Schizosaccharomyces pombe: one gene and its partner. The gene in region 1 interacts genetically with each later gene. Each region holds a gene or a part of one and is shown on either strand. Other genes may lie near its edges.

Region 1 (5,305 bases):
GGAGGTTAAAGTTGAAGGCAGAAGACAGGCATGTATGGAATAGTGTGTAAACTTTGTTACTACGAAACGATTAATCGGTGCTAAGCTAGATATAAGTTTCTGACGAAAATTAATTGTAGTAATTACAATAAGTAAATATAATTCTAAAGTTTTGATAAAAGCTATAACGCTAATATTGCGTAAACAATTGGATGAAACGAAAACACCCTGGTATAGTAAAGTTGATTTGTTTCATAAATTTTGTATATGTTATAAACAAAACTTTATGTACTTGAAATTATTTTTTATAAAGTGAGAACGCCCAGTTGTTCATTAAAGTACTGCTTGGACATATTTGAACAGAGCTGGAGTACCTAATTTCAATAATTCTTTATTTTTGAAACACTAAAAGTTTTAGAGATCAAAATAGCAATTGAAAAGTATTTTTTTTTTTATTAAAAAAAAAATTTATTAAATTTTCCTTTGTTGGAACATATTTTAGAACATGGGAGTGCCAGTTAAAACTAAAAATAATATTGTTTTGAAAAACTACATCTTAAAGTAAATGATCATCGAATGTGCTGTCAGTACTACGACAAACAGACCTCCGATATAAACCGACACTTTAAGTACTTAAGTTAATTATTATTCTTAGCATCGTATAGATACTGTCAAAATTTTTTGTAAAATATAAAAGTTCAAAGTACTAAAGCATCACCATCATGCATCAAATAATAACGCCCTAGATATTTGTTCACTAAATATGTAAACAAAAGATGATTGAAGTACAGTAACAATAGACGAGCTATGAGAGTAGTGAGGTTTGTTTTAAATACCTTATTGTGCTAATACTGAAACACATTGTAATCTTATCGCGCATTTTATCAATAAAGTAGTGTAGTGTGCACAACTTATACGCTACTTTGTTTGGTAGTCGTGACTGTCTTTCTCGAGGTTTTGCTAATTCATCGTACACATTAAAATCTATCAGTAACCTTCTGCCATCGGCCCTAATAGTTTCGAGAAGCAGTTTCAAAAATGACTAAGGGTACTCAATCATTCGGTATGAGACATAACAAGTCTCATACCATTTGCCGTCGTTGTGGAAAGCGTTCTTTCCACATTCAAAAGAGCACCTGCGCATGCTGTGGTTATCCCGCTGCCAAGACTCGTAGTTACAACTGGGGTGCTAAGGCCAAGAGAAGAAGAACTACTGGCACTGGCCGTATGAGCTATTTGAAGAAGGTTCATCGCAGCTTTAAGAACGGATTCCGTAAGTAATTGCACGATCGGTGGAGATCCTGTTGTATTTTTCGTTTATTTATTAACATTTTATTTAGGTGCTGGCAAGCCTACTTCCGCTGCTACTGCTTAGGTATTGCATTAATCGATTTATTCTCGAAGGAGGTTCATTTCTTTCAATGAGTGAAGTGCGTAGTAATGTTAAATGTATTCATCGTATGCTTATAATGTAATTTAAGTTCAGTAAAAATTGGCTTTTTTGTACCGACTTTGCCTTGTATTGATACAAACGTGATAAATCTTTTTACGTCTTAAAAATAGTCTATTACAGGATATTTGTGGTGTTTCCAGCACCACAAATACTAAAAACCGTGGCAGCAGACATGAAAGGATTTTACGTGCAAAAATAAATCACTTCACTCGTGTTATTTTGGGTGTTTTAATTTCTCATTTTTATCTCTTCCCAATACTTGAAATATAAGCTGGCCAAAGAATGCTGGTAGTACAGTTTGTTTGTGTGATTTTTTCTAGAATTTAAACAATTATATTTGCATTCCATTCCGATATTTTTCACGAAGCATTGTCAATCGGTATTTTAACTGGTAATAAATTTGATACTATGGTGGTAAAAGATAAAAGATAATAATAATTGTTATTTTTAGTATAATATATTACCGTTAAGCTGTTTATTTTGATAAAACATTTTGGTTGTTTAAGTAATTTTAATAATGAATCGTGTTTAATTAATTTATCTCAGAACAAATAATGGTTTCCACTGTTTCATTCTTTTAATGACTCAATTCTGCAAAATATTCAGCAAATTTTATTTATTTATTTATTAGAATTTGGTTTATTAGACTGCAAAAGCTTAAGCATATTCTGATTCCCTGATTTCTTATTACAAAACAATTTCGAGGTTACATCGACGATACCAATGGATCAAAATAAATCGACACAGGCAACTGGAAATGGAAAGAAGACAGAGGAAATAAATGAATTGCTTGAAAGTTTTATAAAAGAAGGTCCTAAATTACTTTGGGGGTCGACGAATTTGAAATACGAAGACCAAATAAGTCGTTCGTCAGAACATGAACTTCAGCAATATAGGGTTCGTGAATTTCTAAAAAAGCATGAGTTTATATTTTATAATTTTTTAAAGATGTCCGTGAAAAAGAAATTGTACTAATTACTCGATTAGGAACTTTTTACTCGATTGAAGTTTTCTTATATCGAGCAAGGGACGAAGGAGTACGTCGCAGATTATTTTTACAAGTTTTAAATATGTATTAACAATTTGAAAAGGAGATATTTAAGAGCCATACTGGATGACCCACCTATGCTCGTTGAAGCGGAAGACAATGAAAAATTAGGTATAATATATATTGAATTTTATTTCTGCAGACTTTTATTTTTACTAATGAGACTTAAAGAAACGACAAATTCTTCTCTTAAGGGGAGGCTTAAATCCGAAAAAAGAGAAGTTGATTTGCTCACAGAAGAGTTAAAGACAACGTCTAGGGAATTATCTTCTAGTATGTTAACTGGAATTTTTTTTACTTATTGACATCTTTAAGATTATGAATCAGTGATGGAAGAGTGCAAAAACACAAAGTCTACACTCTCCAAGCTCGAAAGTCTGGAAAGTGAATTGTTAAAACTACAACAAGATTCTTCAACAAAGGTAATAAATGTTTGGATTATAAGATGCTAAACTTCTAGACTCCCATTTTACCAGAGGTTGAAGCAGCTATTCATGACCTCGAAAGCGAATTAAACATCACTAATGAATCCATAGAAACTATCGATGGGAAGATAGACAATGATGAAAAATACTTTATACAACTAACCAAAAACCTTTCTTTACTTGAAAAGGAATATAAAATAGCTTCTGAGAGGTCTAATCAAATTAAAGCAGCAATCCACACTAGAACGCCCGATGCTGACGCAAAAAAACAAGTGCAAAATTGGTATACCTCGATGCTTGAAATTTATGATCAACTTCTTCAAAAATAAATAAAAAACCAATTTTAGTAATAATGTATGACACTAATCTCTATTCCTGCTAGGAACCCAGCGCCTTAAGGTTACACATCGAATTAAATATTGTCGAAGTACAGACTCTGCCCAATCCCATTCATTCATTGAGGCTTGATTTTTCCATATTTTATTAAAGTCTTCAATGCTAGGACATTGAACATAGCATAATATTAGGCTCTTTTTCACTTGCGCAATTACCCGATTTAGACAATGAACTTCATGCCATTGCATGTTATATTTTTGTTTGTTTCCAACACATGGAATTAGCAAAATAGCAAACTCGGCATGGCTGAAAACTGGACCCTTTTTGTACAATACTATTTCTTGTTAAAAAAATCTGAAGCGATGTATATAATAAACTTACAAAAATCCACCGAAAATTTGGTTCCGTTTTTTACAACCCAACCTTGCTGACGAAAGTAGAAATAAGCAGCCAATTCAGTTAAAAATTTGTTGTCCGGCTCAATAATAGGGTCTTCATGGCTTTGCTGTAAAGAATAATCATGAGTAAGGGCAACTGAATTAGCAACTATGTTGGCAAAAAGCTTTAAAATAGGTAAAAGTTCAAAATTAGGGTTTTCGTAGTTGATTCGAAGGACTCCCAAAGAAGCTAAAAAAAAGGCTTCCGGAAATGTTAGCTGTAGGTGCTCAACATTAGGCACTGAAGTAATATGGTATGGATTTTCGGAAACTCGGGAAAAGTCTTTAAGAGATTTCGTTAAATACTCAGGAAGTTCTGCATCTTCTTCTAAAGATGCTGGAATCGGCTTGCCATTTTCTAATAGTAATTGCCTCTCACGAGCACGATTTTCCCTATAAGCTCTTTGTGCTTTAAATTGTTTTCGCTGAAATCTCCTACGCGCGGTAACTTCCTCAGCTACAAGGTCTTCATCAAATCCAAGAAGTCCCAGCGATCGCTTAGTTCGTGTATGCCAAGTTGGCTCGCTACGAGACAAATTTCCTTTTCCAAAAAAACCTGATGTCCAAAATTTTTTAATAGCTTCACTATCTGTTACAACACAGCTGAGGTCACTTTCATGAAGCTGACATTGCCATTGTACTTGCCTGGGTGTCTTTCTAAATAGGTACCGATATATATATGGTATCCAGGTTAAAGGATTAGTAAGAATAATAGGAGGAAGAGGATAAGCTAAAGAAATAGGGAGCGCATCCTTATAAACTTCATGATTTTTCGACATTTTTTGTGACAGTAAAAGTAGTAACACATTAAATACTAAATTTATATTAGCACATAAATTAGAGAAAAAGTATGTTTGTTTCTCTTATTTGCAGACTGTTCGAGTTACAGATGGCATACATCCAAGAATTGGGTTCAGAACTAGCAATTACTGCAACTACCCTAATTTGGTGGTGATAAATATTTACAATTCTTTAGCTTTCTTTGATTTACACATACCGGGATAGAAATTCTAAAAAAACAGTATACAGGAAGCATTAAATTTAAATGCTTTTGCATAAATAAAACAATTTCTGTATAAAAAAAAACACTTTATTGACATACTAGAGGGCGTTATTCTTAAATTTTTTGTTCCTAAGCCTACTCGTGTTTTTTCTGTTTGTACAAATACTTATACCTTTTGTTCTAAAAGGAATTTAATATTAAGAATCGGTTTCATAAGAAGTTATACACAATTCGGATTTACTATTCTTTTGTTTCAGCTAAACGACTTAAAAGAGCAATTGAATCCTTGGTTTATGGTTTTCACTTATGTTTTATCTCAACTGTTCAGTCAATTTTCATTTCTTAAATTTTTTTCCTTTTTTTAACACTCCTTAATGAAACAGTACTTGAACACAGTTATTTCCAACCCTAGACCAGCACAAGCGTTGGGAATCAATCAACCATTTGTAGTATTTTGCTTTATTACATCTCGTGCTCTTTCATTTGTACCTGCGATTTACTGGTGCTTCAAATGTTTACATCTAGCTTTTGTTGCTGACAAGTTCAAATGGCTCCCATTAACATCGGCCCTATGGACTCTGGTAATAACTCGTGGATAATGCATAATACTAATTTTTATAGGTA
Region 2 (4,038 bases), on another chromosome or scaffold:
GGTTTCATCAACCCCAAATTCAAATTTCGTATCGGCAATGATGATTCCCTTCTTTAATGCAACATCACGGGCTATTTTGTAAAGCTTTACAGAAGTCTCAGCAACTTGTTTGGCTAATTCAGGTCCAACAATTTTACTGACTTCATCAGGATGAATGTTTTCATCATGGCCTTCGGCAGCTTTGGTGCTGGGGGTGAAAAGGGGTTCAGGGAAGGCCTCTGCCTCTTTCATTCCTGTAGGTACGTTAAGGCCATGAACAGTCCCTTGCTTTTGATATTCCTTCCAAGCACTTCCAGTGATATAGCCACGAACAATAGCTTCGATAGGAAGAATCTTGTATTTCTTAACGAGCATGGATCTATCCTTTAACTCTTCATGCTTCGTGATAACAGGAGGTAATTCTTCCCACCTAGAAGTAATCAAATGAGTTTGGACATGAGGTTTTAAAACATCAAACCAAAATTCTGAAATTTTTGTCAAAACCTTTCCCTTCTCAGGGATGCCGTTCTCCATGATAAAATCATAGGCGCTTATTCTGTCTGTTGCTACGAACAAAAGATCATCGGGAAATTCTACACACTCATACAGGTCTCTGACTTTGCCGGTAGCAATTTTAGTGAATGGAGCATCCAACGAAGTTTTTAATAATGCCATTTGAAATGAACTTGATGTAGAAATGAAGGTTTAAACTATTCCACTTGAAGACAATTAGCTTTTGGTATAAAAATAACAAAGTATTTAAAGAAAATCCGTGTGATCTCTTTTCATTTCGTTTTAATATGCTTCTTCTGTATGAGGTCTATATAGTATAACATAGAACATCGATTAAAAATTTCAGAGAAACAAAAGCAATTACAATTATCAAAAAGGATACTATTACATAACATACCACTTAGAATTGGCTCCAAAAAACCCTGGTTTCAATGAATCCAGTTAACTCTAACTTTCGATGTAGTAGAAAGGAAAGATACAAGAGAGATGAGACAGATCGTCGTAGATCTTGGCAATACACTGAGACAGATTAAGAACAGATAATCAGTAAAGATTCTTTTCAATTATAAAGAATTTAAAAATTCCGAAATAAATTCGTATTTGAGGATGATGGCAACCTAAGTAAGTGCTCGAAAAGTAAGTTGTACAGGACATGCTGTGGTTATAAATTCCATGTTTAATTAAAATAAATAAAACAAATAAATTAATAATTATAATAAGAAAACTATTACTTCACTTAAGTTAAAAAGAGCTTTAAACACCGACTACTGTTGCCTTTTTGACTGCAGAATATTTTGAAACAACTTTATATAGGAAGTGTTTTAAGAGTAGGATAATTCAAACTTTTAATTCTTAAAACTATACTGGATCCTTAAAGTTCTGGCTTGTCTGCAAAGCCATGTAATCTAAAATTGGGTACTTTCTGTAAATAATATGCAGCGATTTAAAATCAACAATAACCAGCTAAGTCTGAAAATTACTACAATTTAGATTTTGTACATATAGAATACTCGAATATTTTTCATTATACTTATATTTGATTATTCATCTTATTTATCGTCGCTATATTTTTCAACAATTATGATAAAGTACAAGCTCAATCCTGGCAGCTCATGGACATCTTGACTATTTGTCAAAAACTGTAAACAGTTTTAATGGTAATAATATCCACATTTTGTAATTTGCATAACTTTTCAGCTTAGCATTTCATGTCGCATTCCTCAATTATATATATATATATATATATATATTACATAAACAGTAAACTTGATATAGTATAAGAAGAGGTCTTATGAATTTATAAGGGGAATTAACCAACCATTCAATGGATTATGTTAAAATTATTATTCTTATTATTTTACAGCAGAAAAAAGGATATATATTTTTGTTTTTGCAAGTTCGAAGATAATCTAGCAATTAAACAAATATTTTATACCAAGTTGTAACAAGTGTATCTCCAAAAAGAAAGGAATACTTAACAGTAAAAAAGAATTTAATCATTATTTATTTTTTTATTTATTCTCTACATGAATATACTTTGCTTTGATGAATTTTCAATGCTCAATTGTAAGGCCGACTTATAACGCGCTCGCTATACTTTGTTAGGTTACCTAGTGTAAACAATGAGTAAGGTAGTCTTTGCAATCCTGACTCGACTTGACCCTAACCAGCATCCATTATGAAACGAAAGCCTGAAGAGCAGGAAGGATTTGTATTCGTTAGGAAGGGTAAAGAAAAAGCTGGTTCTAAAAGAAGGAAATCATCTGTGGAGGATGATCCAGATACCTCCCAAACCGATGGGTTAGTTGAGCTACCCGTGTCTGATACACCAATTGTGAAGCGAAACAAAGAACTTCGCAAGGGTAAAGGAAGAAGGAGTAGTCTTGACCAACGGGGTAAGCGTGCTAGTAGCATTGGTACTGGATTTGAAGCTTTACCACATGCAGATGTTCCATCGCATGAATACTATCGCCATATATCCAAAGACTTATCCGAACCTTTACGTATCAAACAACTTCTCCTTTGGGCTTCTTCAAAGGCCTTAGAAGAGCAAAGAAAAAAATACGGTGAAACGGAGGAAGCCAGTGAGGCAGCTATTGCTAGATCAATAGTTCAAGAAGTTCTTAACGAATTATTGGCTAATAAAGTTAGTGTTAGTTGGTATCAAAGACCACCTGATGCTGTAATTCCTAATAAACCTCATCCTCAAAATCTCAAAAATGCTCAGCTAGTGGACGAACTGTCGGCAAAGCTTACCCAACTCCATAATGAAGAAGCTGCATGGCGGGCTGTTGCTGCTAATTCCGTCAGTTCAGATAAATCAATTTTATCTTTTAAAAAAGCTGTAGAATCCATAGATTCTAAACAAGACCTTGATAAACAGGACTCTCCATTACCCCCAGATGATGCACCAGAACTTCCTAATATAAGTAAGCTGAAACCAAAATTCCACACTCTCCTGGACATGCTTGCTGAAAATATTCATACCTTGCATTCTTTGACTAACGCTGGACCTGAAGTCCGATCATCATATGGTCGCCTTGCTGCCCAGGATTTCATAGCCCATCGTAAAAGTTTGTTGTCCTTCTCCAAATATGTGGATACTATGAATTTATTAAGGCTTTTATCAGAAGCTTCCTATAAATCTTCCTCAAACGAATCAGTTTAAAATTGGATTAATCTGATACTGTTATGCCCAAATTTTTACTTATTTTTACGTTAATTTTATGTCTTTTTGCGTGCCATTGCTGCTAATTAACTAATAATGAAGGTGTGCAAACCAGCTGGACTGTGTTTGAAAATTCATGTTATACGTTATTTCAAAGGAACTCCTATAGTAGTAGCGCGCACTCACATTACTATCTACACTCAATGTACGATACATAACTGCTACTATTCACCCAATATTTAGAATTTATCAAAGGTTTCATAGTTAATTAATTTGAAATATTTGAGAAATAAATAGCTTTATCTCTAAAGTCTATATTCTATAATTAAATTTTAAAAAGCGAGAGCAGACATCGTCGCAGGTTTCGAAACATGTAACGTGTAATTAACAATAGCTTTATGATAACCAGAATACACGTGGTAAATTCCGTCATAATAGTAACGTAAAACTTTCAAACACAAAACCGCATACATGAAATTAAAAAAAAACCACGATTTCTATGAAGCTTGGACATTATTTAAATATTAAGGCAGCTTCTCAAACGCAACGGTGCACCAATATTGGAGACAAATTCAAGAAATCCCAAACCCAAACTGAAACTGTGGGGACATGAGCTAAAGAATTTTAAAAAATTTTAGCAATGGATAGGTGGAAGCATGCTTAAGGAACATATCTAAGTTCACTTATGGAATGATCCCTGAGGCGAAAAAAGCAAAGCAGCAAATTCTGACCGCTTTACGAAGCCAAGATTGTTGGCATATCTTTTAAAAAAGTGGGATAGCCAACTGAAATAATAGAGGCTTTAAATTCCTTGCATGTACACAACGCAAACCAAATGCATAACGAAAAAAAAGACACAAAACAAGCTGTTTTAAACA

The links.
Region 2: of sos7 (region 1) and mis13, extra expression of one rescues a mutant of the other (dosage rescue), as found in Schizosaccharomyces pombe (one study listed by BioGRID).

Annotation. Positions count from the first base shown.
Region 1 is NC_003424.3:1,274,518-1,279,822, forward strand, and holds sos7 (protein sos7), read left to right. Parts: upstream 1-1,976; 5' UTR 1,977-2,155; coding exon 2,156-2,329; exon of another isoform or gene 2,330-2,409; intron 2,410-2,419; coding exon 2,420-2,469; intron 2,470-2,523; coding exon 2,524-2,591; intron 2,592-2,602; exon of another isoform or gene 2,603-2,651; coding exon 2,652-2,753; exon of another isoform or gene 2,754-2,795; coding exon 2,796-2,902; exon of another isoform or gene 2,903-2,940; coding exon 2,941-3,234; 3' UTR 3,235-3,267; coding exon of another isoform or gene 3,268-3,575; 3' UTR 3,576-3,622; coding exon of another isoform or gene 3,623-4,457; 3' UTR 4,458-4,483; downstream 4,484-5,305. Other genes in the region: rpl3703 (60S ribosomal protein eL37), read left to right, coding at 1,018-1,252, 1,320-1,354; tRNA-splicing endonuclease catalytic subunit Sen2, read right to left, coding at 3,268-3,575, 3,623-4,457; eos1 (N-glycosylation protein), read left to right, coding at 5,056-5,262, 5,303-5,305.
Region 2 is NC_003423.3:1,153,734-1,157,771, reverse strand, and holds mis13 (MIS12/MIND complex Mis13/Dsn1), read left to right. Parts: upstream 1-2,150; 5' UTR 2,151-2,170; coding exon 2,171-3,160; 3' UTR 3,161-3,468; downstream 3,469-4,038. Other genes in the region: ade7 (phosphoribosylaminoimidazolesuccinocarboxamide synthase), read right to left, coding at 1-654; SPOM_SPBC409.08 (spermine family transporter), read right to left, coding at 4,032-4,038. UniProt on the Schizosaccharomyces pombe protein: Acts as a component of the NMS (Ndc80-MIND-Spc7) super complex which has a role in kinetochore function during late meiotic prophase and throughout the mitotic cell cycle.